7 linked regions of the Canis lupus familiaris genome follow. The protein of the gene in region 7 purifies or fractionates together with the protein of the main gene of each other region. This does not show direct contact. Links are inferred from orthologs where the notes say so. Each region holds a gene or a part of one and is shown on either strand. Other genes may lie near its edges. The genes, in order: HDAC1, MTA3, ZNF512B, SMARCB1, CDK2AP1, MTA1 and CHD3.

Region 1 (2,917 bases), on a different chromosome or scaffold from region 7:
GGTTTTGTTTACTCCCCAAATCCCTGAGCCAGATGTGGGGTGCCTACACTCCCAAACCCGAGTGTCCAGCCTTCCCCTCTGTTGAGTTTTTAGTCTCTTGTGCTGTGCCTAGTGGCACCTGGGCTGGGGAGGACACTGCCCCTGTCTAGGTTTTTATAAATGTCTTACTCAAGTTCAAACCTCCAGCTTGTGAATCGACTGTGTCTCTTTTTTGACTTGGTAAGCAAGTATTAGGCTTTGGGGTGGGGGGGAGGTCTGTAATGTGAAACAACTTCTTGTTGTCTTTTTTTTTCCCCCTCCCATTGTTGTAAATAACTTTTAATGGCCAAACCCCAGATTTGTACTTTTTTTTTTTTTTCTAACTGCTAAAACCATTCTCTTCCACCTGGTTTTACTGTAACATTTGGAAAAGGAATAAATGTCGTCCCTTTAGTAGTGCTTTTTAATGAGTGGTCTTCTGGGGGTAGGGTGAGAAGATCGGTTAACCTCAACCCTTGTGGGAGGGATTAGGGTGAAGGTTAAGTTTGTGGGGTTGTTTCCTTGTTCATGGAGTTGCCCAGATTCTCCTGGACACGAGAAGGGCAGGGAAGTGGAGTTGAAATCAACCCAGGGATACTGCTAGGAGACAAGCTCAGGAGGATGTAGAAATGTACCATTTTATTACAAAGATTCTCATGAAAATGAAAATAGTATCTCAAAAAAGGATACCTGACTTATCAATCTCCACCTGCAGAACTGGGCAAGGATAGAGGGCAGGCAGTGAGTTCCTTGGCTCACATGGGGCCAGTGGGAAGGTATGATAAGAGAACCAATCTAAAAATGGCTGATGTTACCTTAAGGAGCCTGATGGGAGGGTCCCAGAAGACCCAGCCACTCCTAGAATGCTCAATGAGGGCACCTTTCCAAAGCTACGAAGCAGGCACTTGGCATTTCTGGATTTTGTCCTATGGCTGCTTAAAAGCATGCCTTCCAGAACCGGTACCCTTTATGGTTCAAAATTAAGAACTGGGGAAGGATGGGTGGCGAGGCAGCCACTAGAAAAGCTCACTCATAATGTGTGCCCTAGGCTCAGGGCCCTGGTTCCTGTCTAGTCCCTGGGGATATTTATATTTAATATATTTTTATATAAATACACAGAGAAATAGAAAATATAAAATCTGAGGGGTTGTGGGAGAAAGGTGGGGAACTTGGCAGGAAACCAGAACTGGAGAGGTCTGCTCAGGCCAACTTGACCTCCTCCTTGACCCTGTGGAGAGAGCAGAGACTGGCATGAGATAACGTGCCCCAGAGGCCTGGAGGCAAAAATACGGGGACAATGACTTCTATAGGACCCCAGCTGCCCAGGTGACTGCCGAGGGCTGGGGCTTCCTAGCTCTGCCTAGAACTGCAGAGACAGACAGACTGGTCCCTGAAAGAGGTCTTTGTAAGCTGCACCAGCTGTCCCTGCGCCTCCCTCGGCAGGGCGGACAAAGGGGCTGGTGCTCCAATGCCAGGGAGATGGCCGACAGCTCCTTCCTCACCCTTTGGCTTCTTGCTTCTCCTCCTTGGTTTTCTCCTCTTCTGTGACTTCTAGAACATAAGAGTGCAGGGATGGCCAAGGCTCCCCTCCAGAAAGACCCATGGAATCTTCACTTAGGCTGAACCCCCTTCCCCAACACAGCTCACTGGACATACAAAAGAGAAAAGCCCATCCCAGGCCCTCCCCCTTGAGCCCTGCAGAGAACAAACAGGTTGGACCGGTTTCCCAGCCTGCTAGTGCCTGAACCCGGTGGGCGGGGGCAGCCCCCTGGGAACCTGGGGTGAAGCACTGGGAAAGGGGCTTGGGTGGTGTGTGAGAGCCACACTCCTGACCATGGGGAGACTAGGCATGTCCCTGGCTCTGGAGCCTGGCAGGGCTCAACCGGCCAGTGCAGATAACAAATTGAATTTCATTCTTTTGTGGGTCCTGCTGTTTCTGGGGGTGGAGGCAGAACCCCAACAGAAGGCAGGGCCTGAGTCAGCTCCCTCCTAGAGCCCTACATACATTCATCCTCCTCTGGGGCCTGGGGCTCAAGACCCAAGTCTGGGCATGACCCAAACCCACCTTTCTTCTCTTCTGGGTCTTTCTCTTTTTCGTCCTCAGTTTTGACTCTCTTGGCTTTTTTGAAGTTGGAAGAGTTCTTACGACCACCTTCTCCCTCCTCATCAGAGTCCGAGAACTCTTCCTCACAGGCAATTCGTTTGTCAGATGAACAGACTGGGAGGCAATGGGAAATGTAAGTGAGACAGCAGGAGATCAGCTTTACCTCAAGGTCTGTGCCCAGTGCTTCCCTGTGTGTCCTCCAAGAGACACCAAGGGAAGGGGGTGACTAAGAAGAGGGGAAGGAAACTCAGACTCCCTAAATTGTCCCAAGAACTAGAACATGGGTTTCTCAACAGATGAGTAGCTTAGGAGGAACATGGAACCAAGAACAGGGGTGGGAAGCCAGAGCTACCTACTGAACGGGAAGGTACCGCCCCCGGATCTGGGTCTTACTAGAGATGCGCTTGTCAGGGTCTTCTTCGTCCTCGTCGCCACTCTCCTCTGGAATGGCATCCTCAGGAATCACCTGCATTTGGACCCCAGGTGCGTGGGGCAGCATTCTCAGGTTCTCAAACAGTCGCTGTCTATGGCCAATGGTAGAGAGGGTGGCTGGGCTCTGGTTAGGGACAAACCAGAGCCTGGAATGTTCAATCAGGGGGTGCATGGGGATATACTCACTTGATCTTCTCCAGGTATTCATTGGTATTCTGGTTGGTCATATTGGAAGGACTGATGTGAAGTTTGAAATCTGGTCCAAAGTATTCAAAGTAGTCATTGTACGGAAGCTCTAATTGGGGCAGGAGATAGGAGTCAAGAGACCTGGCTGCCACAGGACCCCAAGAAAAAAGCATTTGT
Region 2 (3,891 bases), on a different chromosome or scaffold from region 7:
AATTTCTTTTCTCACAAAGAAAAAACATCTACTAAATGTCTATAAGATTTCCTCTCTGTTAAGCCAGACAGCAAGTTTTCTCCTTTAGGGGAGAAAGTTGCATGGCTCTAACATGGCAGTCAGGGATGTGACTAAACGTAGCAAGACTAGAATCAGAGCTGGCACACAAAGTATGGACACATTTTAGGGGTACATGGTAATAACAGAACAACCCACAATTCACTGATACATATGACCTTTGTTCTAACAACAACAAAAAAATGAAACATAAGCCAAGACTGAACATGTTGAAAATGAGAGTAATAATTATGTATATGTTATGCGGTAATATATGTATGATAATGAAATGGAAACCAAATTAGACAAATAGAAAGAATGCTCAACCATAAATTTGGTCATTAGCCTGTAAGAACTAAATATGTATTTTCAGAAAATTCACCCAAAGACACTAAAATCCATTTATAATTTGCTCCATTTTCCAGTTACTGTAGTGTTTGTTATGAAGCACTCTGAATTTCCATAATATTGTAGAATTATAAAAGGTTCATGGGAAAATGAGAGGTTTACAAAGACATGCAATTTCTAATTAGTGTAAATTGGCAAATTTTATTCAAACCTAATGAAGGCACGTAAGAGCAGATTGAATGTCTCATCTATGGGGCTTCACTGTGACACCATCCTTAGGGGTTACATCTCGGCATGACCTTACAGGTGAAAGTGCCTTCCCATAAGGGTTCTCGGGCAGTCCCATCACAAGACCTCTCTGAATAAGGGCGCCTCCCACCAATTCTCTGCTGAGTACTATGCTCTCTGCAGAGGGGCTGCAGAGGTTCCAGTGTTTCCTTTTCAGGTTGGCATGATACAAATGGCAGCAGACAAAAACAATGTTAAAAAAAATAAACCAAATAAAAGGCTGTACACAAGAACTTATGTTTATTGCAAACAAAAACGAAACAAAACAAAAAAAAAAACAAAAAAGAGAGGGAAGGAGAGAAAATGGTCAGAAGCACAACACATAAGGTTAAGAATTTAAAAGCATCTTACATTCTGCCCTAATGGCAGCATAATTAATAGGAACAAACGGCCGTCTTGCTGCCTGCCGCAGCCGGAGGGTATTTTTGCAGACCTGACGAGCAAATTTTGTGAAATATGTAGTGTGGAGGAAGAAAGCTTGGCGGGTCTTCACTGCAGACTTTGGGCTCCCAGTGTTTCGGACTGGCATCCCCTGCATGGCCTGGCGAGACATGTGACTCCTAACACGGGGGTCCTGCAAAATCAGATACCAACAGACATGTAAAGAAAAGAATGCTATTTGTATCAGGCTCAAAGAAAAGGCAATTTTTAAGTTTTCCACTGAAGCATCTAGAAGTTAATACCCTACTCCCAAAGAAGAAATTAGAAGTATGCACTTTCGGAAAGAGGGTAGGGGAGTAGAGAAGGTAACTGTGTAGGGGTAGGAGGATGTGTGATCCTATATTTTTGTTTTTCAAAGTTTTTATTTTACTTCCAGGTAGTTAACATACAGTGTTATACTAGTTTCAGGTATACAATATAGTAACTCAATACTTCCATCCATCACCACCCTGTGCTCATCACAAGTGCACTCCTTCCTATGCTTTGGTTTTTAAATGGACATTGACCTTAAGAATCCAAAATCACATTTAAAAAAAAAATGCCAAGGGGGTTAATGAAATTATCTTATTTTTTAATAGTGCTGGAGTCCTGAGATCCTGTTAGCCCTTAAAAAGAAGTCTCCCTCTGGTCGACACAGGTGCTTATATCTGCAATCTGAGAATTTTACCAAAATCCTATTTCAACTGTTTATCTCAAGATTGAGTCCATATCACCTTCTTGTTCCTCCTATGATAGCTCAGGGACAGAAAAATGTTCAGTTTATGTTTATTACTTTATGTAGTAAGGCATATTTTTACAGTATTTAAAGGTTGCAAACTGTTTCCCAAAAAGCAATTAAATCATTTAATTTGTAAGCTCTCTACTTATGTTAACACTTCCCACACATATTGTTCTTTTGTCTGAGCAATCACACAAGAACAATATTTTGAATACCTGAAAAAATTTGATTTGTCCCTGCCCTCTCTCCACACCCACCTTAAATATTATGGTGCTATGTTTAGTTATAAAAAAACAGCTTTGTTCGCTTTTATTTTTTGCTTTTAAGTTATCCTGTACTGTACTTCTGTTTCCAAGGAGTGATCAAGCCATTAAAATGACATTTCTCAACGTCAAAGACTATTGCTCATATACCTCTGTAGTTGGGCTAGGAGATAACTTCTCTTCTTCCGACTGGGTGGGCATTTTCAGGCCTCCATATTTTTTCCAGTAGAGCCAACAGGTTGCACACAATCTACACTGCATATTAGGTGGGCCCCAAGAATACCACTGATGAGACTGTGTAGCTAAAGACAGAGGAAAAATATGAAAAGACAAAGTGTTATATAATTTGTAACATCAATACATATACCATCAAATATTTTAAAGATATTCCAAAGTAATCTTTAGTTTATAATGTTATTTTTCTTTCTGCAGTTCACCAAACATAAAAGTCTAATATACATGTATTTTCAAGATGCAGGGTTCATTAAACCATTTCTCTCTCTCTCTCTCTCATAGTGAACGAGAGAGCAAGAGAGCAAACCTGTGGCTCCTGTTAAGAGAAGCTATTAGATGAAGTATCTTATATAATATGCTGTGCTATTACTGAGGGAGTTTTGTTCATTAAAAATACCCCCTATTGTGTACATTTCTGTAAATAAGTTATCAGAAAGTTTTTTTTTAAATTTTATTTATTTATTCATGAGAGAGAGAGAAAGAGAGAGGCAGAGACACAGGCAGAGGGAGAAGCAGGCCCCATGCAGGAAGCCCGATGCCGGACCCGATCCCGGGACTCCAGGATCATGCCCTGGGCTGAAGGCAGCGCTAAACCGCTGAGCCACCCGGGCTGCCCCAGAAAGGTATTATTATTATTATATGAGTGTTTTAAGTCTAAATCTCCAAATTGATGGTCCAGAAACTACCCCAGAGTTTAAGGTGCTCAGAGAGGCCCCACTGATTAAGGTAGGAATCTGTCAGAAATAGATAAATGAACAAAGTAATCATTTTAGTATTTCTCCCTTTAAAAACAGAATCCCTTTCAAGACTATTTAAGTCCAGATCAAGGGAGCATATGCAGCCAAGATCACAAAAGGCTTAAGACCTAATAACTTGGCTGATTTACCACTTAACACTGCAAGCCTTCATCAGTTTTGCTGCAGTTTGAATTGCTCCCATATTGCATTTAAAGTTTTCCTACAATGGATCTGAAGTTTAAGATAGGAAATGATGGCATAAAACATTAAGTTAATGAGGTATGTATAAATTATTATAATCTGTATATTTCCCTTGGAATACTCTTCCCCCTGATTTATAAGTTAACTTCGTCAGGTCAAAGTGTTCAAAGAGCACATCAAGGTGTCAACTAACACTTCACAAGCCAATGTCAAAAAGAGAAAATATACTGGCCATTATAATCAAACTGCATCTTAGTTTGAGAATAATACTGTGCACCCATCGTGTATTATTTTTGGTAGACTCCTTGCTAACAGCAGCCCCCAAAACTTTCCTTTTATAATTTAAAACAGTAAGTCAAATAAGTTGATTTTTTTTAAACACAATTTTAAGAATCTTAAGTATTAGGCATGGACCTAGTTTGGATTATGACTATAAAATTTCACTCATGGGATGCCTAGGTGGCTCAGCAGTTGAGCATCTATCTGCCTTTGGCCTGGGGCATGATCCTGGAATCCGGGATCGAGTTCCACATTGAGTTTCCTGCATGGAGCCTGCTTCTCCTTCTGCCTGTGTCTCTGCCTCAATCTCTGTGTCTCTCATGCA
Region 3 (3,891 bases), on a different chromosome or scaffold from region 7:
CACGGGCGTGGGATGGCGGAGTGCCCTGCTAACAGGGCCACCCCCACCCAGCATGGTGCCCAGGGGCCAGCGGGCGGGAGCCCAAGCGCAGCAGGGGTTGCACAGGTAGGGGGAGGGCCTGGAGAGGTAGAGAACAGAAGCAGAGGAACCGGAGGCGGAAGGACGAGGGAGGCCACGGTGGGGCAGGCCGTCAGGTCAGCACGGCAGCAGTCAGCCTCGGGGCCTGTCCTGGGAGGTAGCTGGGGGTGCTGGGGTCCAGTGTCGGGTGGAGAGGTGAGGCTGCTCAGGTGCCCTCATCAGCCCAGAACCGCGGGTCACCAAGGACCCCCCAAGCCTTGGGCCTGAGAAAGCAGACGGGGCACGGAGCTCACACGGTGAAGGCCACCTGCCCGCCCTGCGCTGCCCTGCGGCACCGAGGCCTGGGCTGCAGACCCTCCTCCTGCCCGTCCAGGGCCCCAGACCCTGCCGAGCCCGTGAGCGCCCCTCCACGCTATTGCACTTCTGTGGCTGCCACGGGCCCTCCCCTAAGGGACCCCGCCACGTGTGCCCTACACAGCCTGCACGGGGGAAGGGCCATCCTCGGGAAAGAGAGAGGGGCTGGCTGCCTCCACCGGGCAGGTGAACAGGTGGGTGTGGGGTGGAGACCCAGAGGGCAGGAGGTCCTGGAGCCAGCTACCCCCCTCAGCAGTGGACCTGGCGTCCAGCGTGGGGACCGGGCCCCACCCACCTGCCAGCCACCACGCTCACTTCTCAGGAGCCTTGCTGGCTCCCGCCTTCCGGCCAGTGGAGCCCCGCGCCCCCTTGTCTCTGCCTCCTGGGGGCCAGTCATCCCGACGGGGGGGCATCTTGGGTGCAGGCTCCTCAGGGGTCCGCTCCTTGGGCTTTCGGCCTCGCTTCTTCCCACCCGCCAGGCTCTTCTTCTCCTCCTTCTTGGGTGCCAGCGAGTCCTGGCTCCTATGTTTGGGAAGTGGGTCTGCAGAAGTTCGAAACCAGTTCTGGAAAGGAAAGAAACCACAATGAAGACCCGGGGACAGGAGAGTGCTGAGTCCTGGGGCCAGACAGATGGCTCAGGCGGCTGAGCGACAGGGCACCCACGTGAAGCGTGCCGCCCGGGCAGGGCACGGGGGTAGGGCACCCAGGCTTCTCTGCTCCTCCAGGGAAGCCAGCAGCCGCTCTCAAGGGAAACCACCAGCTCTCCTAACCTTGGCTGCTCCCTCAAAGGCCACACAAGTGACTACTCCGCCACTCCCACCCTGGCCCATTCCCCGCTGTGGGGTCAGCCCATCTGCCCCAGGCCCAGCAAGGCCCCCAGCCCATCCCACCTCCGCATGGGTCTTGAGGATGTGATATTTGACGCCACTCTCAGAGCTGAACTCCTTCGGGCACAGCAGACAGCAATACTTCCCCACCAGGTGGTCTCCCTGCAAAGCATGGGCCAGGCCGGCCACCAGACATTGGACCCCACCCCCAATCCTTGCAGGACCAGAAGCATCAGACCCAACCAGGGCACCTGCCCCTCCTCCTGCACCTGTGTAGCTATAGGGTCGGGGAAGCCACAGCTCATGGGGATGGGCTTCAAGGACCCACACAGCTTCTCTGTGGCAGGACCTCTGAGTTGCCACCATTAAGGAAAGGTGACGGATAAGGAGAGAATGAGAAGAGGCAAGTGCTCCAGGGCACAGCCCCTCACCCCAAGCCCAAGTTAGTGCTCACACCCACATGGACAAGGAGCCCCTGTGGACGGAACAACTTTGAGCGGGAGTGTCCTGGGCAGGGCTGGCCACCAGGCGCTGGGCGGTCCCTGGGCTCATGGAGGAGGCTGCCCCACGGGGGTAGGGTCACACATCCAATGTGTGGGGACCTCTAGGGGTTGGCTAGGAGTGCCGAGCACCCAACCCACCACGGGAACGGGCCAGGGCACTGACCTTGCTGCAGCTGGCGAGATGAGCCTTAAGGCCGGACACACTGGAGTAGATGGCTTCACAGCACTGGGGACAGGAGGCAGCCATGGGAGAGCGCCTCCCAGGAGATGCCCCCGCACGAATGCACACGCACCCCTCACCCGGGGGGATGTGGGGCTTCTCTGGGCTAAGTGCAGGGCTCGGCCCCAGGAAGCCTGAGCTGTGGGCAGGCTGGACCTCTAGGGCTAAGGTCATGGGGTTCCATCTAAGGGCCCTGCAGGTCACAGGTGAGCTGGTCACTTGGAAGCCTCCTCCTACCCAGGGTCACACCTGGGCTCTCTGTCCTTGAATCCCAGTGCCCTCACACCGCCCCACCAGCCCACCCCAAAACTCACATCATTGGGGCAGTTGACATGGCCTTTCTCCTTGACTTCATTCTTCCATGCTTCCAGAAGCTGGGGGTTGAGCGTGGGGAGGCCTGGCCGAGTGTAGTTGAGCTACAAGAACAGACGCACACCAGCGTGAGCCCCGTGGGCCTATGTAACGGGGGCCCCGAGCGCCAGGTCAGAGCTGAGGCCGGATAGCCCCAGCGGCTCTGAGCACCTCGGCTGTGCCCTCCGCAAATGGGGATTTGGACCTGGAAGGTCAGCCAACGGCCCAGGTCACAGGGGCAGGGCCATCACAGGGGAGACCCTGAGCTAAACCACGTCCTGCTCAGACACGGGAGTCGGGGACCCGGCGGCAGCTCACCCGGGCAGTCTCGGGTACCAGGTCATCCTTCACCCGCCGCTTAGTCCAGTCTCGAGCCAGTTCATCCTCTGCAATCTCCTGAAGGTGGAACACGGCCACCTGGGCCGACGTGCGGCGGATGCGGCCACTGGGAGTCCGCTCAACCCCCAGCAGGTCCTCCGTTTCGGGGGGCTTGTCTTCAGGCTCCTCGGGTGGCTGCAGAGCAGAGGGGCCAGGGTGAGCAGCAGGGGCCACGGGGCATGGAGCGCAGGCGCACAGGCACAAGGGCATGGGCCGCGAGGCGCAAACACAGAGGCCCCGGGGTCCAAGGCTCCCGAGTCCCCACGCCTGTGGCCCCCAGGAAAGAAGGGAGAGTGCGCACGGCAGGTGGCACGAGACACACAGGCTTGGGCCCAAGGGACAGGAGGACCCAGGCCCCGGGCTGCTCACCGGGGCCGTGTGCTCCGAGCGCATGTGGTAGTCGTGTCCGGCCTTGGAGCGGTAAGTCTTTCCGCAGTGGGTGCAGGGGAAGGAGGGGCTGTCCACCTCACAGGGAGGCTTCCCACAGCGTCGCTGGTGGTACTGGTAGCCCATGAGGCTGGAGAAGGCGGCCCCGCAGCCCTGGGGTCGGGCTTGGGTGAGTGGCCAGCCGGGGGGCTGCTGCGGCTCATCCCACGCGAGCCCCGCCCCCGGCCGTCCCACTGACCTCCTGGGGGCAGCGCAGCCTCCCCATCTGCTTCAGCACCTTGCGCAGCCGCTCCCGCTCCTCCTGTTCACTCCCCTCCGAGGCCTCAGCGTCAGAGGGCTGGGGGGCAGGCCCAGCCTTAGTATCCCCACCACCACAGGGCCCCGGCCCCTGCCCCGGGGTCAGGGCCTGAGATGTCCAAGGTCACCACGGAAGCCAGCGAGCTCTGCTGCCACGTGGCGATGAAAGGTCAGTGGTCAGGGGAGGGAGGGTGGGGGGACGGACTAGGAGGCAGGGGTCGGTGGGTCTGGGTGTACCTTGGCGCTGTGTTCAGCCATGGTGTGGTAGTTGAGTCCCGCCTTGGATTTGAACTGTTTCCGACAGTGCTGGCACTTGAGAGCGTCCTGCAGCTGCACACGCGTCCCTGCCGTGAGACGCTGACCCTGGGCACCCCCCGCCTGGGACCCCGGGGCAGCCTTACCTTCTGACAAACCTCCATGTGCTTCTTGAGCCCCACGAGGGTCTTTCGGGTGACCACGTTGCAGGTGGGGCAGACGGCCTCCCCCCGTTCGTGGA
Region 4 (3,891 bases), on a different chromosome or scaffold from region 7:
ACATGCACCCAGCTCTCAGGCCTTGTTCCCAGAGCCAGGCAGAGGCCCTTGGACTCATACCTGGCATATCAAGTGCCAGGAGATGACCAAAGGAAACAGCCTAATCCCTCTAGAAAGCTCAAGGCAACCACATATCAACAACTACACACGTTCCTCCTTGAGGAAATCCCCTCTGGGAGAAAAAAGTTGTAAACGATTATATTCTCTGCCATGGGAATGTCTAATAGCAGAAGGAGTTTTAGCAAAAGAAGGCACTACAACTCAACAGAAAATTGTGTGCCAATTATGAAGACCAAAGAAACCAGGAGGATACTTATAAGTGAAGAAAAATAAAATTATACTTGCACTATAATTACAACTCTGTTAAATATCTTTGCACGTGCCAAATGACTGGCAGGGAAACTATTATTAGGAACGCTGAGATTCTGGAGATTCTCAACTTCATTTAAAAATTATACTCACTGGGGCTTTTTTCATTGCTGTTCTTTGGTTTTGGTCTGAATATAAATAATCTGTTTTAAAAAGTCTGATTCAGGAAAACAATAAAGAAAAAATAAACACATATGCAATCCTCCTTCCTGAATGGGATAAGGACAAAACACTCTGAAAAATGTCTCCTGGGCAGCCCAGGTGGCCCAGCGGTTTAGTGCCACCTTCAGCCCAGTGTGTGATCCTAGAGACCCGGGATTGAGTCCCACATTGGGCTCCCTGCACGGAGCCTGCTTCTCCCTCTGCCTGTGTCTCTTCCCCTCTCTCTCTGTGTCTCTCACGAATAGACAAAATCTTTAGAAAAAAAATAAAAAAAGAAAATGTCTCCTACGCTTTCTCTTGCTCATGAAGAGTATGCTCTCTTGAGCATGAAGTCATGCTCAGGGTCTGGGAACCAGGAAGAGCAGGCATCTGACCCAGGACTTACAGAGTGAGAATGGGAAAAGGAAGAACAGACAAAGGGAGGGTAGACCTCACTGGGATGAGAGAGGTATGACACGTGCACACACGGCATCATGACAGATTAGAGGGTTGGACAGAGCTAATGCGAGGTGGGTAGAGGGCCATGCGTTGATCTGATCTGAGTAGCAGCAAAGTCATCGTGAGCTCATTGGATAGAGAGGCTGCATCCTGACTGGCCCCTGACCTGCCCAAGCTCGCTAGGAGAGGAAGGAATCTGAGGCTCACATGCCCAACCCACAGGAAATGGGGGCAGAAGCAGGATCTGAACCCAGAGTCCACACCCTAACAATCTATGCCACAAAGCTCTGAATGTCGTGTTCAGAGTCCAGGATCCCAACAGGCAGGAGGCAAGAAAAAGGACTGTTCACACTTCAGCTGGGCCTGGGCTGCGCAGACCCCAATCTCCCACATACCATTCATGTTCCATGTAAAGGCATCTCGCAGCTTCTGGCCATCGATCTCCATGTCCAGCCGGATGGGGACCAGCACCTCAGGCTGGGATGCATTTTCATGGATCACAGCTGGGTCGTGGTCATCAAAGCTGGAAGTGAAGTGGCAGCAAAGTCAGCAAGGGGTGCCATGGGTCTCCACGCTCAGGGCCTCCCTCCCTCTTTGCACTACTGTCACTGCTAACTCGGCCAGAGGGAGAAACCCACTTCTTATGGTGACTTGTTAACTAAGGGCTGAGCCAGCGGGGAGACCAGGCAAGCAGGGGTCCTGCAGCCACAGGAGCAGAGTTCCAGGCTTCAAGGACACTCAGGGAAGGAGAGGGAGCTACGGCCTTGGGCAGTGGGGTATGACCTAGACGTACCCCAGAGGAAGCGAGATTTAAGCCCCAAAGCAGGTAGAACTTTCACAGAAAACTGTAGGTAAGGAAGGGTATTTTCTTTTCTTTTTTTTCTTTTTTGGAAGAGTATTTTCAGAAGAGGAAATACTTAACCAAATCCAAGGGGCAGGAGTGGTGAGGAGCTGTTGGGGAGCAAGAGCCAGAGCACTGAGGGTGGGATGCAGGTTGGGAGGAGGGAAGGAGCACTGTCGGGGACACAGAGAAGCTACACGTGTCCAAGTACCCATGCTTCTCCATCTCAGGCTATGGAATCCAGCCTCTACCCCGAGGGAGCTCCAGGAGAACCCAGAGCAAGGCAGTTATGCAGTCATATCTGTATTTCAGGAAGACACAGAGGAAAGAGGCTGGGGTGGTGAGGGGGGCAGGGGTATGCAGGAGGGCACTGGGAACCTAAGGGTGTCTGCGGAATACGGAGGGCTGAGAATTGCTCGGCGGGGGTGGGGGTGGGGGTGGGGGGTGGGGTGGCAGAGATGACAAACATGAGGAAAACACACTGTATGCCAGACAGCAGTGCTCTGGGAAACATGACAGGGAAAGCGACAGGAGACAGAGACAGGAGTGGCCATTCTAAAGAGGGGTAGGCAGCTCTGAGAGGTGACATTCAAACACTGATGGGAAGGAAAGGGAGAAAGGGAAGGAAGAGGGAGAAGGGGTCAGCGGTGCAGGTGTTGGCAAGGAATGAGCTCTCGGCCGAGGGAACTACAGAAGCTTCTGGGTGGCTCTGAAGGCAGTGAGGAGGCTCATGTGCCTGACGCAGGGTGAGGGCGGTAAGAGAGGAAACCAGACGGGGGCGGCCACTATGAGGACTCCAGGCCTGGGCGAGGGAGCCCACATCTGAGGGGGAGCTGGCCAAAGGCGGTCCAATTCCGGACACTTGGAAGGCTAAGAAGGCAGGAGTGTGCAGGAGAAGAGTTCTGGGGTTTTGGCCTGAGGGCAGGAAGGAGGGAGGACTGTGTCCTAGACTCAAAAAGTTGGCAAGCAGTGTGTGACAGATACCTGAGGATAGTGTGTAGAGGTGAGGGCAGGCTGCAGAGATAAAAGTGGGGGTGAACTTGAAAATGCCCCCCAAAAGAAATTTAGTCCTAATCCCTGGAACCTGTGACCATTATATGGTGGTAGCGGTGGTGGGGGGGACTCTGCAAATATAATTAAGGATCTTAAGAGGAGAAGGTTATGCAAGTAGCCCTAAATCACATCATAAGCGTCCTTTTGGGAGAAGACCGGGCAATATTACACATAGAGGAAGCGGCCCTGTGACCCACTGAGGCACAAACTGGTGATGCAGCCACAAGCCAGGGAATGCTGGCAGCCACCAGAGGCCAGAAGAGGCAGGAAGAGCCTTCCCCCCCAGCCTCCAGAGGGAGCAGGGTCCGGCTGACACCTTGATTTTGCTGCACTGAACTCCTGTCCCCAGAACTGTGAGAACCTGGAGGCGTTGGGGAAACAGGCAAGAGCAGCGAGGCTGAAGCAGGCAGAGCAAGGCAGAGCAAGCTGGAGCAAGCCAGAGCAAAAGCCAGAGACTGGCTGTCCCCAAAGCCGACAGGGAACAGTCTCGAGAAGGCAGCATAGTGTTTGGGGGAACATAAAGTCAAGGCAGGGAAGAGGGTAAAATTAAGGCGGCATCAGCAGAGAGTGAGGCACGCTCACCACAGAGGGAAGGTTCTCTTCTTGTCCCGGCCCATGCGGTTCCTGTTGATGGTCGTGGAGCAGGGCACAGCATCCAGATGGTGGGAGCTATTGGGCAGGGTGGGCACCCACTGGCTGTTCCTCTTGGCTTTCTGTTCCCTGGGGAGATGCGAGAAATGTCCCTGCTCAGTCTTGGAGCCCAATACTGGCCATCAGATTCCAAGTCACGGTCTGTGGAAACCCACTGCACCCCTGGCAGGCTCCAGTGGTCCGTGGTGACCCCCCAGCACCCCAGATTCTGCACGTGTACTCCTCAGGCTCCCATGGCATCCATTCAGAGGCACCTGGCTTACAGGAAGGGTGCAGAGAGGCCGCAGTCACAGGAGTGCATGAGTCCCAGTATAACACGGAATGTGCTAGGCATGACTCCATGGAAGCCCTACCCTTTCTGTGAGGAATGCGAGTGA
Region 5 (4,630 bases), on a different chromosome or scaffold from region 7:
GCACCATCCTTAGCCCTCACCTCTTGTTGCTTGTCATGGTTTCTTGCCTCCCTGCCTCCCAGTCCCATCCATCTGAGCTCCTACAGACAAGGGCGTGGACCAGAAGGCGGTCTGGCTGTGCCACTCCTGGCTGTGTGACCTTGGATGAGGCCCTTCCCTCTCTGGGCCTCAGTTTCTCTATCTGTTTGGGGCAATGATTCCCAACACAATGTCTAAAGGCCTACATCCCACTCTTCCATGGGGCAAGGGTTAGGTCTTGCGAGGCCAAGGGAGAGGGAGGAGAAATCTCCTGGTTTGGGTCGGGTAATAGCTCGGGGCTTGCCTTTCCCATCACCATGTGATGTGGTAGGTGACCCCAATTCCGTGTCAGTGCCAGTCCCTTACTCTTTGTTGAAAAGGCGGGGGGGAGATGTGGCCCTGGAGAGAGATGGCAGAAGGGCCCTGAGTTCTACTCATGCCCACGCACTTCGGCAGACACAGGGAGGGCCAGAGCATGAGGCTGCAGGAGGCCAGGGAGAAAACCAGACTGGGCGTGAGCACGACAGTCTCTGAGCATCACAGACAATGCACGCAGTGTGCAGGGACCAGGGAGGGCCCGAGCCGAGGGAGGGATTGGCAGAGGCCAGCAGCTCCTGGGGCCAGGCGCAGCTCCCCGCCCCCACGCCAGACAAAGAGCGGCCTGGGCCTGGGGAGCTGGCGGCCTTCCCGCCACTTGGGGCGCCTGGGGGGGGGTGTGCTCTCCGGCGGGGAGGCGGGGGCTTTGTCTAACTCCGCCACTGCCACCGCCGGCCAGGCCGCGGCTTGGCAACCCGCGAGCAGGAGGCAGGGCTGGAGGGCGTGAGGGATGATGACAAGGAAGCCTGAGGAGCGGCAGCGCAGAGTCCATCTTGGATGCAAATGGCAGGGGGAGATTGGGGCTTTGTAAAGGGTCCGTGGGGAGGGGCACAGCCCCCCTCCAAAAAACCCACCAGCTTCTGGGGACCTCAGCAGTACTCCTGGAAATCACCATAGAAGAAAACCCATGCGCAGGTGCCAGCCAGCCAGAACAGGGCTTCAGGGGTCCTGAGTGGGTGCCCCTGTCACTTGACCCCAATCCCCAAAGGTCCCAGCGTAGGGCACCTGCCTCCACTATACCAGGCCAGGCCTGAGATCTCCAGCGTGTCCAGGCTGGCAGGAAGACCTTCCACTCTGCCCACCTCAGAGACAGATGAAGCAGGCAAGGAGAAATCCTACCTGGGCCACAAAGTCTGCCTCTCTGTAAGGTCTGCAGACCCCAAAGGAGGTGGTGAGAACATGTGAGAAAATAGTGGCTGTGTGTTCTTGGCACGCTGATCCCAAATTTAACGAATTCAACTATACCCTCACCGGCACCCTGAATCTTAACTCTTTCCAACCCCCAAATCTGTGTCCCAGTAAGTTAAAATACATACATTATATATATATATATATATATATATATACTTTTTTTTTTTTTTCTGGGTCCCTCTTCAGATTTTTGGGATTATGGAGTTACCGTTTGGAGACAAGGCCCAAAACTTGCGGCCAACTGCCAACGTGGCATTTCTGACCAGCAAGGCCAATCCCCTCCCCCACAAGGCCTCTCCCCTCCCCCTCCGGCGCGCTGGCTCCCTGGAAGTCTATTTCCAGCGCAGCGTCTGAGGCAGGGAGAGCCGGGCTAGGGGCGACGCCGGTCCCGCCTAACGTCGCCGTCTCGCGTCCCCCCGACGCAGGCCTCCCTGATCCCTGGGGCAGGCCCCTGGGCACGGATTGAAGCTGGCTGACAACTTCGGGAGGAGTTTCCTGGGCTCGCCGGGCTCCAGCCCCCGGGAAGGGAGAGGACGCCCCTGCAGCCCGGCTCCCGCGGAGGGGCTTCCAAGCCCAGAGGCGGGGGCTCCGGGGCGCGGGGTCTGGGCTGGAACGCGCCCGCCACTGCCCGCGGCGCCCGAGCCCCGGTGCCCTCAACTTCTGTCAGTCGGCGCGCGCTGAGGACCTCGGGCGGGCGGCGCTCTGGGCACGGCGGCGGCGGCGGCGGCGGCTGAGGCTGCGGCTGAGGCTGAGGCTGAGGCTGAGGCTGAGGCTGAGGCTGCGGCGCCCGAGCCCCCGCCGGCGACCGGGTCCCCCGCAGGCGCTGACCCCGGCGGCCCCGCGCCCTCAGGGCGCCCGCGGCCCGCAGCCCGCCCGCTCGCCGCCCCCGCCCCGCCCCCGCCCGGCCCCCGCCCGGCCGGGCCCCGCTCGCACGCCCCCGGCGGCCGCCCCCCGCCCGGGCCCGCGCCCCGCGCCCCGCTCCCCAAGGGCGCCCCGCGCCCCGCTCGCGGCGTGGCCCGGCTGCTCCCGACTCCCGCCGGCAGGGGCCCTCGCCGAGCCGCCCAGAGCCGGAGGAACAAGCAGAGAAAAGCCTCCCCCGCCCTCGCCCGCCGCGCTCCCCGCGAGCCCTCGGCCGCCGGCGTGGGGGGCCCCCGGCGCCCGCCCGCGCCCCCGGCCCCCGCCGAGCCCCGCCGCGGCCCCGGGCGCCCCCGCGAACTTTGGCGGCGCGGGCGCCGGGATCATGGCGGCGGCGGCCGCGCTGCCCCGGGCCGGGACCCGCCGCCCGGCGCCCCCGGCCGCCGCGGGCCCCCGAGCGCCGGGCCGGGCCGGGCGCGCCGGCCCCCAACTTGGCGGCACTCGGGGCGCGGCGCGCGGGCCGCGGGGCGCACTCACTCACCGGCGCTGAGGGAGGCGGCGGGCATGTGCGCGGCCAAGTTCGGTTTGTAAGACATCCCCGCGAGCGGCGGGGCGCGCAGGGGCGCCGGGGCCAGGCCCGCGGGGGCGGCGGCGAGGCGGCGGCGAGGCCGGGCGGCGGCGAGGCGGCCCCCGCGTCCGGGCGCCCGTCCGTGCTCCCGCCGCGCTCCCGCGCACTTTTTGTTGTTGACGGCTCGGGCCGCACCGGCAAATATGGCCGTCCCTCACCCTGACACCGCTGCAGTATATCACCCATACATCGGGCGGGCGGGCGCAGGGGCGGCCGCAAACTTTGAGCGGAGCCAGCGGGGCCGGCCCGGGCCGGGAGGGGGCGGCCCGGCGTCAGGGGGCGGCTCCGCCCGCGGCCGCGCCCCGCGCCTCGGGCCGCGCTCGGCGCCCGCAACTTGGCAAAGTTTGGGGGGCTGGGTCCGGCGGCGCCCGCGGCCCTCGTGGGCCCTTCCTCGGGGCTCTGCGCCCGCGGACTCGCCGTCTCACCGCTTCGTCCCTTGCCCCCTCTCTCTTCTGAATGGCCAGGTGGGGTTTCAGAATCACTTTTTTTCCCCCTGGACTGTGGGGGCAGGGATGGAAAAGTACCTGGAGAAAATGGTGGCGACTGGTATTTTTGAGCACGTAGATCATTCCAGATGCCGAGGTCTGGCCAGTCCCCAGAATAAGAACAACCAATGCTCGGCATGGATTTCAAATAAATTTCGTGTCCCTGTCTGGATTAAGCGGGTTTTGGTGGTGGTGGTGGTGGTGGCGGTTGTTGTTGTTGTTGTTGTTGTGTTTGTTTCTTTTTTTTAACCCCTCGGGGGCCTACGAGGCTCCTTAGAGATTTACAAAAGCCAAAGGCCTCTTCCCTGGAAAATTAATTCACTCTTGTATCCACGGAACTCTACCTCTTAACTCCTTCAGATATGTAAGAAGCTACTACTTCGTGCCTGGCACCCGTCCAGGCGCCAAGGATAGGAGAATGAACTTGACCAAGTTTCTACTCTCCTGATGTTTGCATTACAATTTTTTTAAAAAAAAGATTTTATGTATTCATGAGAGTCTCGGAGAGGCAGAGACATAGGCAGAGGGAGAAGCAGGCTCCCAGCTGCCCGCGCGGGATGCGGGACTCCATCCCAGGACTCTGGGATCACCACCTGAGCAGAAGGCAGATGCTCAACCACTGAGCCACCCAGGTGCTACCCCCGCCCCCTGCCTTTTTTAAAGATTTTATTTATTTGAGAGAGAGCACAAGTGGGGGGGGGGGAGGAGCAGAGGGAGAGTGACAGGCAGACTGCTGAGTGCGGAGCTCAATGTGCAGCTCCGTCTCACAACCCTGAAATCATGGCCTGAGTGGAAACCAAGAGTTGGCCACTCAACTGGCTGAGCCATCCCAGAGCCTAGCATTACAATTTTCTATGCTCCTTCCACCCCCACCCCTCCCGCCCATCCTCAGGTCTGACTGAGACATATCAGCAAATATATGACTTTGATTAGATGACTAAGCTTTTGAAGGTAACTTTTCTTGGAGTTCCACTTAAATAGTAAAGCTTGTCAAAATACAAAAGATATGGGGGATCCCTGGGTGGCTCAGCAGTTTGGCACCTGCCTTCGGCCCAGGGTGTGATCCCGGGGTGCGGGGATCAAGTCCCACATTGGGCTCCCTGCGTGGACCCCGATTCTCCCTCTGCCTGTGTCTCTGCCTCTCATTCTCTCTGTCTCTCATGAATAAATAAAATAGAATAAAGGAAGTACAGGTGATAAACCCCTTCCCAGCTTAAGCAGAACTACCAGTGATCAGCTTTAGGCTTGCTCAGCCAAGGATGCCAGTCAAATTTTATTTTGTGAATGAATTAATACCAAGCTCTCCTACAATGCCCCAGGGGCTCAAATACTCTAGAGTAGCATTGTCCAATAGAAA
Region 6 (4,495 bases), on a different chromosome or scaffold from region 7:
GCAAGAGCAAGGCAGGGTCTGAGCAACGCACGCCCCCGACCGGCCGGCGGCTGCCAGCAGGGGCGGCCCAGAGGGGCCTCGAGTGACCCCAGGGCCGGCAGGTCGCGGGAGAAGCCAAGCCCAGGGAGCGCTGACGCCGAGTGGGCCGGGGCACGTCTGACCGGGGAGGGGCGCTCGGCGGACCTGAGCCCTCCAGCGGTGCACCCTCCTCCTGGCCCGCCAGCCAGGTCCCCCTGTTGACCTGCGTCCCTCCCCCAGGCCTTGCTCGCTCAGGACCAGAACCTGGTGGACGTCCGGACGCTGGAAAGGCCACAGCCCCTGGGCCCCACCTTCCAGCACCCCTGGGGTGGATCAAGGCCTCTGTCGCACCGCTGGGCAGACCTCAGCGCCAGGGGCCTGGTTCCCCATCAGAACTGGAAGCAGCCACGGGGGCACCTGGTCAGGCGGCCGCCTCTCAATTTCAGCCCAGGTCGTGACCTCAGGGTCACGGGGCCGCGCCCCACGGGCTCCCTGCTCAGCGGGGGTCTGCGCGGGGCTCCCCGCTGGCGCCCTCCTTGGAACCACAGGGGCTGGAGCAAGCAGTCGGTGCCCCTGCCCCGCCGGCCCCCGGGGAGGCCGCCAGCGCCCAGACGCCTTCCAGGACCTCCGAAGAGCTCAGCAGACACGAGAGAGGTGGGGGGGCGGGGAGCGCCGGGTGACCAGCCGGGAGCTCAGGGGCCGCAGCCAGCTGCCGCCCCCGCCCTGCGCCAGAGCTGCGCCCAGACGAGCCCCGACTTCCGGGGACTTGACCCTCGGGGCCGTTTCTCCTGTGCCCAAGGGGCCCTGGGGGCCTGGGGGCTCCGGGCAGGGTGGCCCCAGCAGGGAAGGGCCCACAAAACGAGCTCCCAGCGGCCCCAGCCGGGACTGCCCCGGGTCCCCGGGCAGCAGGGGAGGCGGGCTGCGGGGGCCAGAGGGTCCCTCCCGCCCCACCCCAGTACTGAAGGGGGCTGCAGGCTCACACGCAGACGCCCATCGACCCCACCCCGAGCGCTCCAATGGCGGGCTGTGGCCACTGCCGTGCAGACCCGTCACCTGCAGGCTGCCACAGGTGGTGCCACCTGCCCTCTCCACGTCACAGCCAAAGCGAGGGGCAGGGGCTGTGCTGGCCCCACCCGAGACCCACTGCCCGCGGCCAGCCCAGCAGTGGGCCCCCGGCTCCCCCGCCACGCTCCCCACCGCTCACTGGAGTCGCGGGCCCGACCCCATGTGTTCCCGAGCCGATGCCCACCCCGTGCCCTGCTGGCCCTGCTGCCCGGGCGGGCCGTGGGCAGCTTCCCCCAGCAAGCACCCGCGGGAGGTGGCCCCACAGCGTCCTGGTCACTGCCCTCGCCCTGCCGCGTCCAGACCTGGCCCAGCCTCCCAGGAGCTGCCAGGCTGCAAGGACCAGCCCCACACGCTGTGTGCAGCGGAGGCCTGGGGGCACCCCCTCCCCCGGGCAGATGCTGCGCAGGAGTCTCGGGAACGGGGGCACAGGGGTCGGGGCTCGGCTGCCACCAGTCTGCTCCGTGGAGCACCAGCACCCCGACCTCCGCCCCCAGCCCGCCGGTCCCAAGGATGCCCAGCCACGCTGCCGTGCTCGGGGTCCAGGAGAGCAGCCCTTGAGGACTGGCCTCACGGAGCACAGCCAGTCGGGGACAACAGGTGCTCCGGGGCCAGGGACTCCACGGCCGCAGGGACACTCCTGCCTCTCCCCAGTGCTGCCGGGGGCGCCTCAGAGCGGGAGGCTGGCGGGAGGGGGGGCGGCTGCGAGGGCCCAGAGCGGGGCGGCAGGGGCCTGAGTGAGCCGGGAAGAGGCAGAGGCAGCAGGTGGGCGGGGAGACCCCGGCCAGGGGGACCCCACAGGGCGCCCCTGTCCCACAGAGCACACCCGCCACAGGGACCCCACGGAGAGCTCTCCAAGGAGAAGGACCCAGGTGTAGGCGTGTGGCACGGGAACAAAGCCACCGAAGGGTCTGGGGCCGGCCCTGAAGCCCCGGGCGGCCCCCCCCCACCACGCGCCCCCCCCCATGCACGTACCTTGTTGAGCTCCTCGATCCTGCGAATCAGGTACGGGTTGCTGGAGGAGTTCTCAAAATAGACGTAGTCTGCAAACAGGAACAGAGTGCGTCACCCCGCAGCACTGAGCCCGGGGACCAGGGGAGCCCCGACCCCCCTCACACCCGCGCCCAGTTCTAGGGGCCAGGGAACAGGAGGGAACGAAGGACACGGTGCCCCTGCCACCTTAGTGCACAGACAGGTACCCAGACATGTTGGTGGGTGCCGGGCACGGGTCCTAGAGGACGGAGGGGGCTGTCCCGGGCAGAGGGTCCACACGCCCCGCCCCCTGCCCCGCGCAGACGCTGTGGGAGCCGGACTGCAGCTTCCCCCAGGACAGCTTCCGAGGGGCTGCCGGGCGCCTGCACCTGCCCCCCCACCCCACGCGCCCCGGGCAGGGAACGGAGGAGGCCGGGGCTCCCTGGGCAGAGGCAGGGCTCTCGGGGGTGCGGACGGGGTCAGGTGCCAGAGGAACGAGGTCCCGCCACCGCCCGCCAGGTCCCCAGCACACCATGTGGGCACCAGCTCGCCTCCGGCTCCAGAGCAGCCTGGGATCGGTCCCCAGGAGGCTGGCAGGCACCCGGGATTTCCCAAGAGGCCCACGGGGGCGGCTGGCCGGCTCCCACGGAGCCCAGGCCAGCCGGGAGGCCACCCAGCTGCCAGCCTGGCCGCCGCCGTGATATAGCAGGTAGCTCGGGGCAGCTGCGGGTGACTCGGTGCCAGGACGAGGCCAGGCTGCAGTCCCCAGCAGGGGTGCCCCGCGCTGTCCCCCGTGCCCCAGGGAAGGCCTGCAAGAGGCCCGTGTCAGCCGGGACACAGCCAAAGGGCCACTCGGAGCACAGATCTTGCCCCAGGACCCAGGCCAGCTCCGTCCTCTCAAGAGGTCCTACCGCTCCACCGTGTGGAGAGGCCCCAGCAAGCATCTGGCACCTGCTGCTGCTGTGTACCTGCTGCAGGCACCTGAGGGGGCTCACCTGTGCTTGGGGGGGGGCGCTCACCTGTGCTGCAGAGGAGAGCTCACCTATGCTGCAGGGAGATGGGGGCGCTCACCTATGCTGCTGCGGGAGGCTCACCCGTGCTGCAGGAGAGGCTCACTATGCTGGGGGGTCCTCACCTATACTGTAGGAGGGAGCGCACCTGTGCTGCTGGGGGGGGCTCACCTGTGCTGCCCGAGGCCACAGCCGGATGGGACGCGGCCATGGGCACCCACAGAGCTCCACGGAACGAAAGAGCAACAGCACTAACAGCCCAGAGGGAACAGGGCTGCCGGGCTCAGAGGGCCACGCTCGCGGGCTGGGGGGGAAGAGAGCTCTACGGGAGGGGGCCATCGACGGGCTCGAGGTCGGCTTGACGGCAGTGGAAACACTCTGAACACAGACCGCGGCCACACCGTACGCCTCGTGAGCGGGTGAATTTTATCACACGTGAATTGTCGCTCAAAAGAGCAGTTTTAATATAAAGCCCTATTGGTCTTAAAGCTTTCATCCAAAGAAACCAAAAAACCAATTAAATCAAAGCTGTCGGGGATCCCTGGGTGGCTCAGCGGTTTAGCGCTGCCTTTGGCCCCGGGCGTGGTCCTGGAGCCCCGGGATCGAGTCCTGCATCGGGCTCCCTGCGTGGAGCCTGCTTCTCCCTCTGTGTCTGTCCCTCTCTGTGTCTCTCATGAATAAATAAGTAAAAAATCTATTTTAAAAAAAAATAAGTAAATAAACCAAAGCTGTTATTCACATGCAGTCTACACTGGACACGACCCAGGAGGAGCCCCACCGGCCCTGCATGCGGCTCTGAGGATCCCTGCTCAGGCAGGGGGCTGGGGGGCACGGGGCTGCGTCCCAGCCGCCAGTTGCACCCCTGCATGTGCTCCCCACAATTCAGACCTGCACGCCTGAGACGGGTGGGTTAAGCTTTGGTAGATGGGAAAACACGCAAAGCAAAAAGATGGTAGATGATGAGCAAAAACCAGCATAATGAGGAAAAATGAACTCGTGTAAACAGCCAGTAAGGGGATCAACCTCAGGCCAGGGTGACAAAGGAAAGACCCGGAGGGTGAGTGAGCGAGAGCTGGGTAGGAGGGGGCTCCCGGCGCCGCTGCCTGACGGCTCAGGTGACACGGGGCCCGCGCTGGGCAGACGCAGACCCCCGAGCTCCCTGCAGACAAACAGGCAACCCTGTGCCCTAAAGAAATCAGGCTCGGGCAGCCCGGGGGGCTCAGCGGCTTAGCTCCACCTTCAGCCCAGGGCGTGATCCCGGGGACCTGGAATCGAGTCCCACGTCGGGCTCCCTGCGTGGAGCCTGCTTCTCCCTCTGCCTGGGTCTCTGCCTCTCTCTGTGTCTCTCATGAATAAATTAAATAAAATCTTAAAAAAAAAAAAAATCAGGCTCAGGGGCACCGTGGTGGGCTGAGAGTCTGCCTTTGGCTCAG
Region 7 (4,467 bases):
CACCATAATAGGTCTGCTGCACATGCGTACTGCAGGCAGGGGGTGGGTTTGTATTTTCAGACCTTTTGCAAAGAAACTACCAGAATTTTCCGCACCACCCACAATCATTCCCCACCCCCACCCCCAAGGAATCACATCTATATATTATGTTATATTATTTCTCGAGACTTGCCAGAAGGGGGAGGGAGAAGAAATGAGTTTTTGGCTTCCTGCTCCCTTCCCCCACCAACATGAGTGCTATTATTTTAAACGTTTTACAACGTAAGGAGCCGAGAAGGGGGGGAGGGATAAAATTGGTCTTGGGTAAGAATGTAAAACAAAATGGTGAGAATCAAAGCAGTCAGGATGAAAAACAATAGACCTCTAATATGTGCGAATTCATATTCTGGAGAAGGATGAGGGAGGGCAGCCCGCACACATTTCCTTCTAGGAGGCTTATTTTGCCCACACCTAGGTAGACAGAAATAACGAGCGGACCAAAAATATTTTTCTCAAAGTTTTGCCTCAGAAAGTCCGGGGGGGGGGTAGTGCATCTGGGTCACTCTGTTGACTTGGGAGGGCCTCAAGACTGGGGGAGGGGGGGTACGATCGCCCTGGAAGAGGGAGGAGGTGGGTTTTCATTTCAGATACAAATTTTTTTAAAAACATTTGACGTTTCTTCTGGGCTGTTGAGAGAGCAGAGGGGAAGTGGGGAGGGAGGACTGACACAAAAGACCCAACCTCGACCTCAGATTCTTTCATGCCCCTCTCTTACATTCCCAAATCTCAGACCAAAAACGCATAAACACCACATTCCAAGTTGGCCCTACAAATAGGTGAGAACTGTCCGCGGGGCAACACAACCTGACATCCTTTCTCTCCCTCTTTTTAGCACATCAGCTGGGTTCCAGGCACCCCCTCCCCACCATCCTTTATTCCTCCTCCCTCCTGAAACCTCGTGGGTTCTCTGGGATAACTTTCTGAAAACTTTTCTCTTTTTCAGACAAGCTTGGGGAGGGGAGGTGTCCCCGTTTCCATCAGACACGTACCCTCCACCACCCTCACCCCAAGAAGGTACCCCATACTCCTCAAAGGCTGTCTCAACCGAACAGGAACAGTTGCCACATAAGCCACACAGATCAATGTGACAGTTTTACAAAGATAGACGTCCTGAAGTTTGATGCATTCGTGCTACAGGGCTCCCAGAGGCCTGGGGGTGTGGATGTCCCCTTTCCAGCCCCAAAGATGCGAGCACCGTAAGGATGCTCCCCTGTCCTCCAGAAGATCGGCAGTCACTGCATTAGGAGGGTGGTCTGAGGGGGGCCGTTGCTGCCGCCCCCCCTCCACTCCAGGCAGCAGGCTGTCCCAGTCCCTTCCAGCCCTGGTGGAACTGCCCAGAGAGCGCCAGAGGACTTGTCATCCCGGGGGAGGGGTGCCGAGTGACGGTCAAGCTGCAGAACAGCTGGGTGGGCAGTGCACGCCCCCCCATTCCCCGGCATGATCAAGGTGCGGGTGGTTTCAGCGAGAGTGACAGTGAATGGCAGCCACGTGAGAGTCACAGCTGGGCAGCTCGGCCACCCCAGACTGACGGGGTCACACGGCGGGGGGGGGGGGGGAGGGGGCTCGCACTTGACACAAAAGAGCCTGGAGCAGGGTGCTGATAAAGGGGGTGGAGTTGGGGGCATCTGGTCACAGACACTCTCCCCGCGCTCCCCAACCTTCAAGGAGTGCTCTCCCGATTAGGACGGGGGGGGGGGAGGGGGCGCCCTGAGGCGGATTAAGCGTGAGTCCAGGAAGTGGTCTGCGTGGAGTGCGGCCACCACCTGCCCCCCATCACCCGCCGCCCGCAGGCGCTCACGCGACCTCTCCCCCACGCGCCACCGCGCGCCCCGGGGAGTCGGCGGGCGCCCAGGTTCCCGAAGGTGGGGGGTCCCAGGGACGCTGGCCCCCACCCCCACCCCCGCCTCCCCCGCCCCTGAGGGGGGGCGGTGAGGCCCGCGGTCCGCTCCACGCGCGGAAACTCCCCGTCACCTCAGTGCAACCCCACTCGGGCGGGAGCCCGAGGGGCGCCCGCGCGGCCGCCCCTCCCCCACGCGCCCCTCCTCCACGCCGCCGTCCGGCCGCCAGGGTCTCCGCGGTCCCTCGCTCGGCCAGGGAGGGGGCCCTGGCTTCGCCGCGGCCGTTTCCTGCCTACCCCCTCCCAGCCGAGGGTAAAAAAAAAAAAAATCTCCTCCTCCTCCTCCCCCGAAAGCCGCGACCGAGTGGCCCGGTCCGCGCGCGCAGCTCGCGCCCAGCGCTCTCCAGCCCGGGCGGCGGCGACGGCGGCGGCGGTGGCGGCGGCTGCGGCGGCGGCGGCGGGGGAGGGGTGCGGCGGGGGAGGGGAAGAGGCCTGGCCCCGCGGCCGCCGCCGCCGCCCGCCGCCCGCCGGCCCGGCCCGCCCGGGGCCCCGGGCCCGACGCTGGCGCCCCGCGCCCCCGGATTCACCTCGGCTCGGCCGCGCGGTGGGTGCCTCGCCCCCGGCCGGCCTCGCGCGCCCGCGGCTCCCGCTCGGGCCGGGGGGTGGGGGGCGGGGGGAGAGCTTCGGGGCGGCCGCTTACCTGGCGGCGGGGGCGGCGGCGGCGGCGGGGGCAGCGGCGGCGGCGGCGGCGGCGGGAAGAGGTGGCAGCCGGGGGGGCTGTGGCGGTCGCGGCCCCGGTCGTGGCCCGGCCCGCGCCCGAGCACTCCCTCGTCGTCGTCCTCCTCGTAGTCCTCGTCGGCCGCCTCCACCTCCTCCTCCTCCTCGTCGCCCTCTTCTTCCTCCTCTTCTTCCTCCTCCGACACCACCATCTCCTCCTCCTCCTCCTCCTCGTCCCTCAGAGGGGAAGCCATCCTGTGGCTCTGGCCCCCCCACCACCCCCCCACCCACCGCCCGCCCGCCTCCCCCACCGCTACCACCACCACCTCCTCCTCCTCCTCCTCCTCCTCCTCCTCCTCCTCCTCCTCGGCGGCGTCCTCCTCCTCCTCCCCACCGCCTCCCCCAGCCCCCCAAACCCCCGGGCCACCCCCCTCCAGAACCCCCCCTCGGGGCCGCCGGCTGAAGAGGGGGGCCGAACCACCCCCAAAAATTGTCTTGGAAAAAATTGAGAGACTTTCCCCCCCTCCCCTTCCTCCCAAGAGAACGAGAAAGGGGGATTAAAAAATATATATATATATAAAAGTTTTCGACTTCTCTCTGCCCCCCTCTCCGTTGCTTTAAATATATTTAAATTCTGAGGGGGGCGCTCAGAAATATTTCTCAGAGCTGAGGCAGTAAGATGGCCGCCTTGAAATTATTTTTAAAACAACCCCCCCCCAAGCACCGCCACCCCCTCCATGAAGAAAGGGAGAGGGGGGAAAAATCCCCTTTTAAAACAAAATGGCTGGCTTAATATTTCAGTTTTCACCCCCCCATTCTCCTCCCTGTTACACCCCCATCTCCTAGCCTCTACCCAGAAACCCACAAATTTCTCCCTTTTTTCATAACTGATTAGTGCACAGATTAATAGAGATATTTTCCTTGTGTACTGTGTGTGTGTGAGTGTGTGTGAGTGTGCGCGTTGGGGGGGCACGAAGGGTTTCTGCATAAAACAAAAATGGCTGCTCTTTCTAACTCCCCCCCCATAAAAATATTTGAGGGGGGGCATTAATCAGTACTCATGCTCAGTCTGACATCAGCATAAATTGTTAAAGGTTAACTAGTTAGATACTAGTCCAACTAGATTTAAATATTTTTCTTTTCTTTACTAGTCTCTTCCTCCCCACCTCCCTTCTCTTAAAGAAAAGCTTTTTTTTTTTTTTTCTGAATACTTCAGAAGGGAGTGGTTTGATGTGAAGGTTTTTTTTTTTCCCCTTCAGGCATTGAAAAGGAAAAGATGAAATATATGTTTATATATAACTCTTGTTTCTACATACCTCGCTGGAGTCAAAACGCATTTAATTGTGTACGTACCGTCCAAGTGAGGCACGGGGCTGGATTTTTCCCCCCTTTCTTTTAAAAAAAAGTGACAGAAATCCTAGTGACTTTTGGGGGGAAGAGATATGAATAGATACGATGATTGAGGTTTTTTTTTTTCTTCAAAGGAGTCCATGTTTGATTCTCCCCTTTGCCCAGGCTTTTCAGTGATTTATAATTGTTGTAAATTTTATCTGCACTCTTTTCTGATTTACTCGCTCCCCCCTTACCCGACCCCGCCTCCCCCGATTGCCTCGACTAGAAAATTCATCTGACTTGGGAAATGAATTTAGGGGGCCAGGAGTACAGATTTTTAGAATAAAGGGGAGTCAAGTCTGAAAAATTGTGAAATTGTCTCCTCTTTTCTCCCATTGCAGTACGTTCCCCTGTCTCCGTGGTCTTCCGACAGTGGTAAAGTGGAAGAAACTGAGGCACGGTGAGATACAAAAGTATCTGGGACTGAGGAGAAGACAGAGGTAGGGGTCCCCCTGGCATTTCCACTGGGCTTGCCTGGGATT

Evidence for each region.
Region 1: the proteins of CHD3 (region 7) and HDAC1 purify together in Homo sapiens (affinity purification with mass spectrometry; 14 studies listed by BioGRID and IntAct, counting the BioPlex papers as one, with this or other methods). This does not show direct contact. The link is inferred for Canis lupus familiaris from reciprocal best matches to the Homo sapiens genes CHD3 and HDAC1.
Region 2: the proteins of CHD3 (region 7) and MTA3 purify together in Homo sapiens (affinity purification with mass spectrometry; 4 studies listed by BioGRID and IntAct, with this or other methods). This does not show direct contact. The link is inferred for Canis lupus familiaris from reciprocal best matches to the Homo sapiens genes CHD3 and MTA3.
Region 3: the proteins of CHD3 (region 7) and ZNF512B purify together in Homo sapiens (affinity purification with mass spectrometry; 3 studies listed by BioGRID and IntAct, with this or other methods). This does not show direct contact. The link is inferred for Canis lupus familiaris from reciprocal best matches to the Homo sapiens genes CHD3 and ZNF512B.
Region 4: the proteins of CHD3 (region 7) and SMARCB1 purify together in Homo sapiens (affinity purification with mass spectrometry; 3 studies listed by BioGRID, with this or other methods). This does not show direct contact. The link is inferred for Canis lupus familiaris from reciprocal best matches to the Homo sapiens genes CHD3 and SMARCB1.
Region 5: the proteins of CHD3 (region 7) and CDK2AP1 purify together in Homo sapiens (affinity purification with mass spectrometry; 6 studies listed by BioGRID and IntAct, with this or other methods). This does not show direct contact. The link is inferred for Canis lupus familiaris from reciprocal best matches to the Homo sapiens genes CHD3 and CDK2AP1.
Region 6: the proteins of CHD3 (region 7) and MTA1 purify together in Homo sapiens (affinity purification with western blotting; 7 studies listed by BioGRID and IntAct, with this or other methods). This does not show direct contact. The link is inferred for Canis lupus familiaris from reciprocal best matches to the Homo sapiens genes CHD3 and MTA1.

The regions. Positions count from the first base shown.
Region 1 is NC_049223.1:68,298,377-68,301,293, forward strand, and holds the end of HDAC1 (histone deacetylase 1), read right to left. Parts: intron 2,850-2,917; coding exon 2,741-2,849; intron 2,647-2,740; coding exon 2,516-2,646; intron 2,237-2,515; coding exon 2,084-2,236; intron 1,570-2,083; coding exon 1,521-1,569; intron 1,247-1,520; coding exon 1,219-1,246; 3' UTR 632-1,218; downstream 1-631. UniProt on the Homo sapiens protein: Histone deacetylase that catalyzes the deacetylation of lysine residues on the N-terminal part of the core histones (H2A, H2B, H3 and H4).
Region 2 is NC_049238.1:34,445,634-34,449,524, reverse strand, and holds part of MTA3 (metastasis-associated protein MTA3), read right to left. Parts: intron 2,418-3,891; coding exon 2,266-2,417; intron 1,268-2,265; coding exon 1,045-1,267; coding exon of another isoform or gene 1,022-1,044; exon of another isoform or gene 915-1,021; intron 1-914. UniProt on the Homo sapiens protein: Acts as a component of the histone deacetylase NuRD complex which participates in the remodeling of chromatin.
Region 3 is NC_049245.1:48,272,727-48,276,617, forward strand, and holds part of ZNF512B (zinc finger protein 512B), read right to left. Parts: coding exon 3,797-3,891; intron 3,726-3,796; coding exon 3,633-3,725; intron 3,436-3,632; coding exon 3,337-3,435; intron 3,252-3,336; coding exon 3,081-3,251; intron 2,847-3,080; coding exon 2,652-2,846; intron 2,399-2,651; coding exon 2,297-2,398; intron 1,989-2,296; coding exon 1,926-1,988; intron 1,422-1,925; coding exon 1,323-1,421; intron 996-1,322; coding exon 748-995; coding exon of another isoform or gene 744-747; exon of another isoform or gene 342-743; coding exon 284-341; 3' UTR 1-283. UniProt on the Homo sapiens protein: Involved in transcriptional regulation by repressing gene expression. Associates with the nucleosome remodeling and histone deacetylase (NuRD) complex, which promotes transcriptional repression by histone deacetylation and nucleosome remodeling.
Region 4 is NC_049247.1:28,807,003-28,810,893, forward strand, and holds part of SMARCB1 (SWI/SNF-related matrix-associated actin-dependent regulator of chromatin subfamily B member 1), read right to left. Parts: intron 3,584-3,891; coding exon 3,446-3,583; intron 1,493-3,445; coding exon 1,365-1,492; intron 1-1,364.
Region 5 is NC_049247.1:6,510,108-6,514,737, reverse strand, and holds the start of CDK2AP1 (cyclin-dependent kinase 2-associated protein 1), read right to left. Parts: upstream 2,971-4,630; 5' UTR 2,757-2,970; coding exon 2,702-2,756; intron 1-2,701. UniProt on the Homo sapiens protein: Inhibitor of cyclin-dependent kinase CDK2. Also acts as a component of the histone deacetylase NuRD complex which participates in the remodeling of chromatin.
Region 6 is NC_049229.1:73,159,890-73,164,384, reverse strand, and holds the start of MTA1 (metastasis-associated protein MTA1), read right to left. Parts: upstream 3,140-4,495; 5' UTR 2,997-3,139; coding exon 2,585-2,996; intron 2,124-2,584; coding exon 2,056-2,123; intron 1-2,055. UniProt on the Homo sapiens protein: Transcriptional coregulator which can act as both a transcriptional corepressor and coactivator. Acts as a component of the histone deacetylase NuRD complex which participates in the remodeling of chromatin.
Region 7 is NC_049226.1:32,947,319-32,951,785, reverse strand, and holds the start of CHD3 (chromodomain-helicase-DNA-binding protein 3), read right to left. Parts: upstream 2,873-4,467; 5' UTR 2,848-2,872; coding exon 2,577-2,847; intron 2,481-2,576; exon of another isoform or gene 2,399-2,480; intron 1-2,398.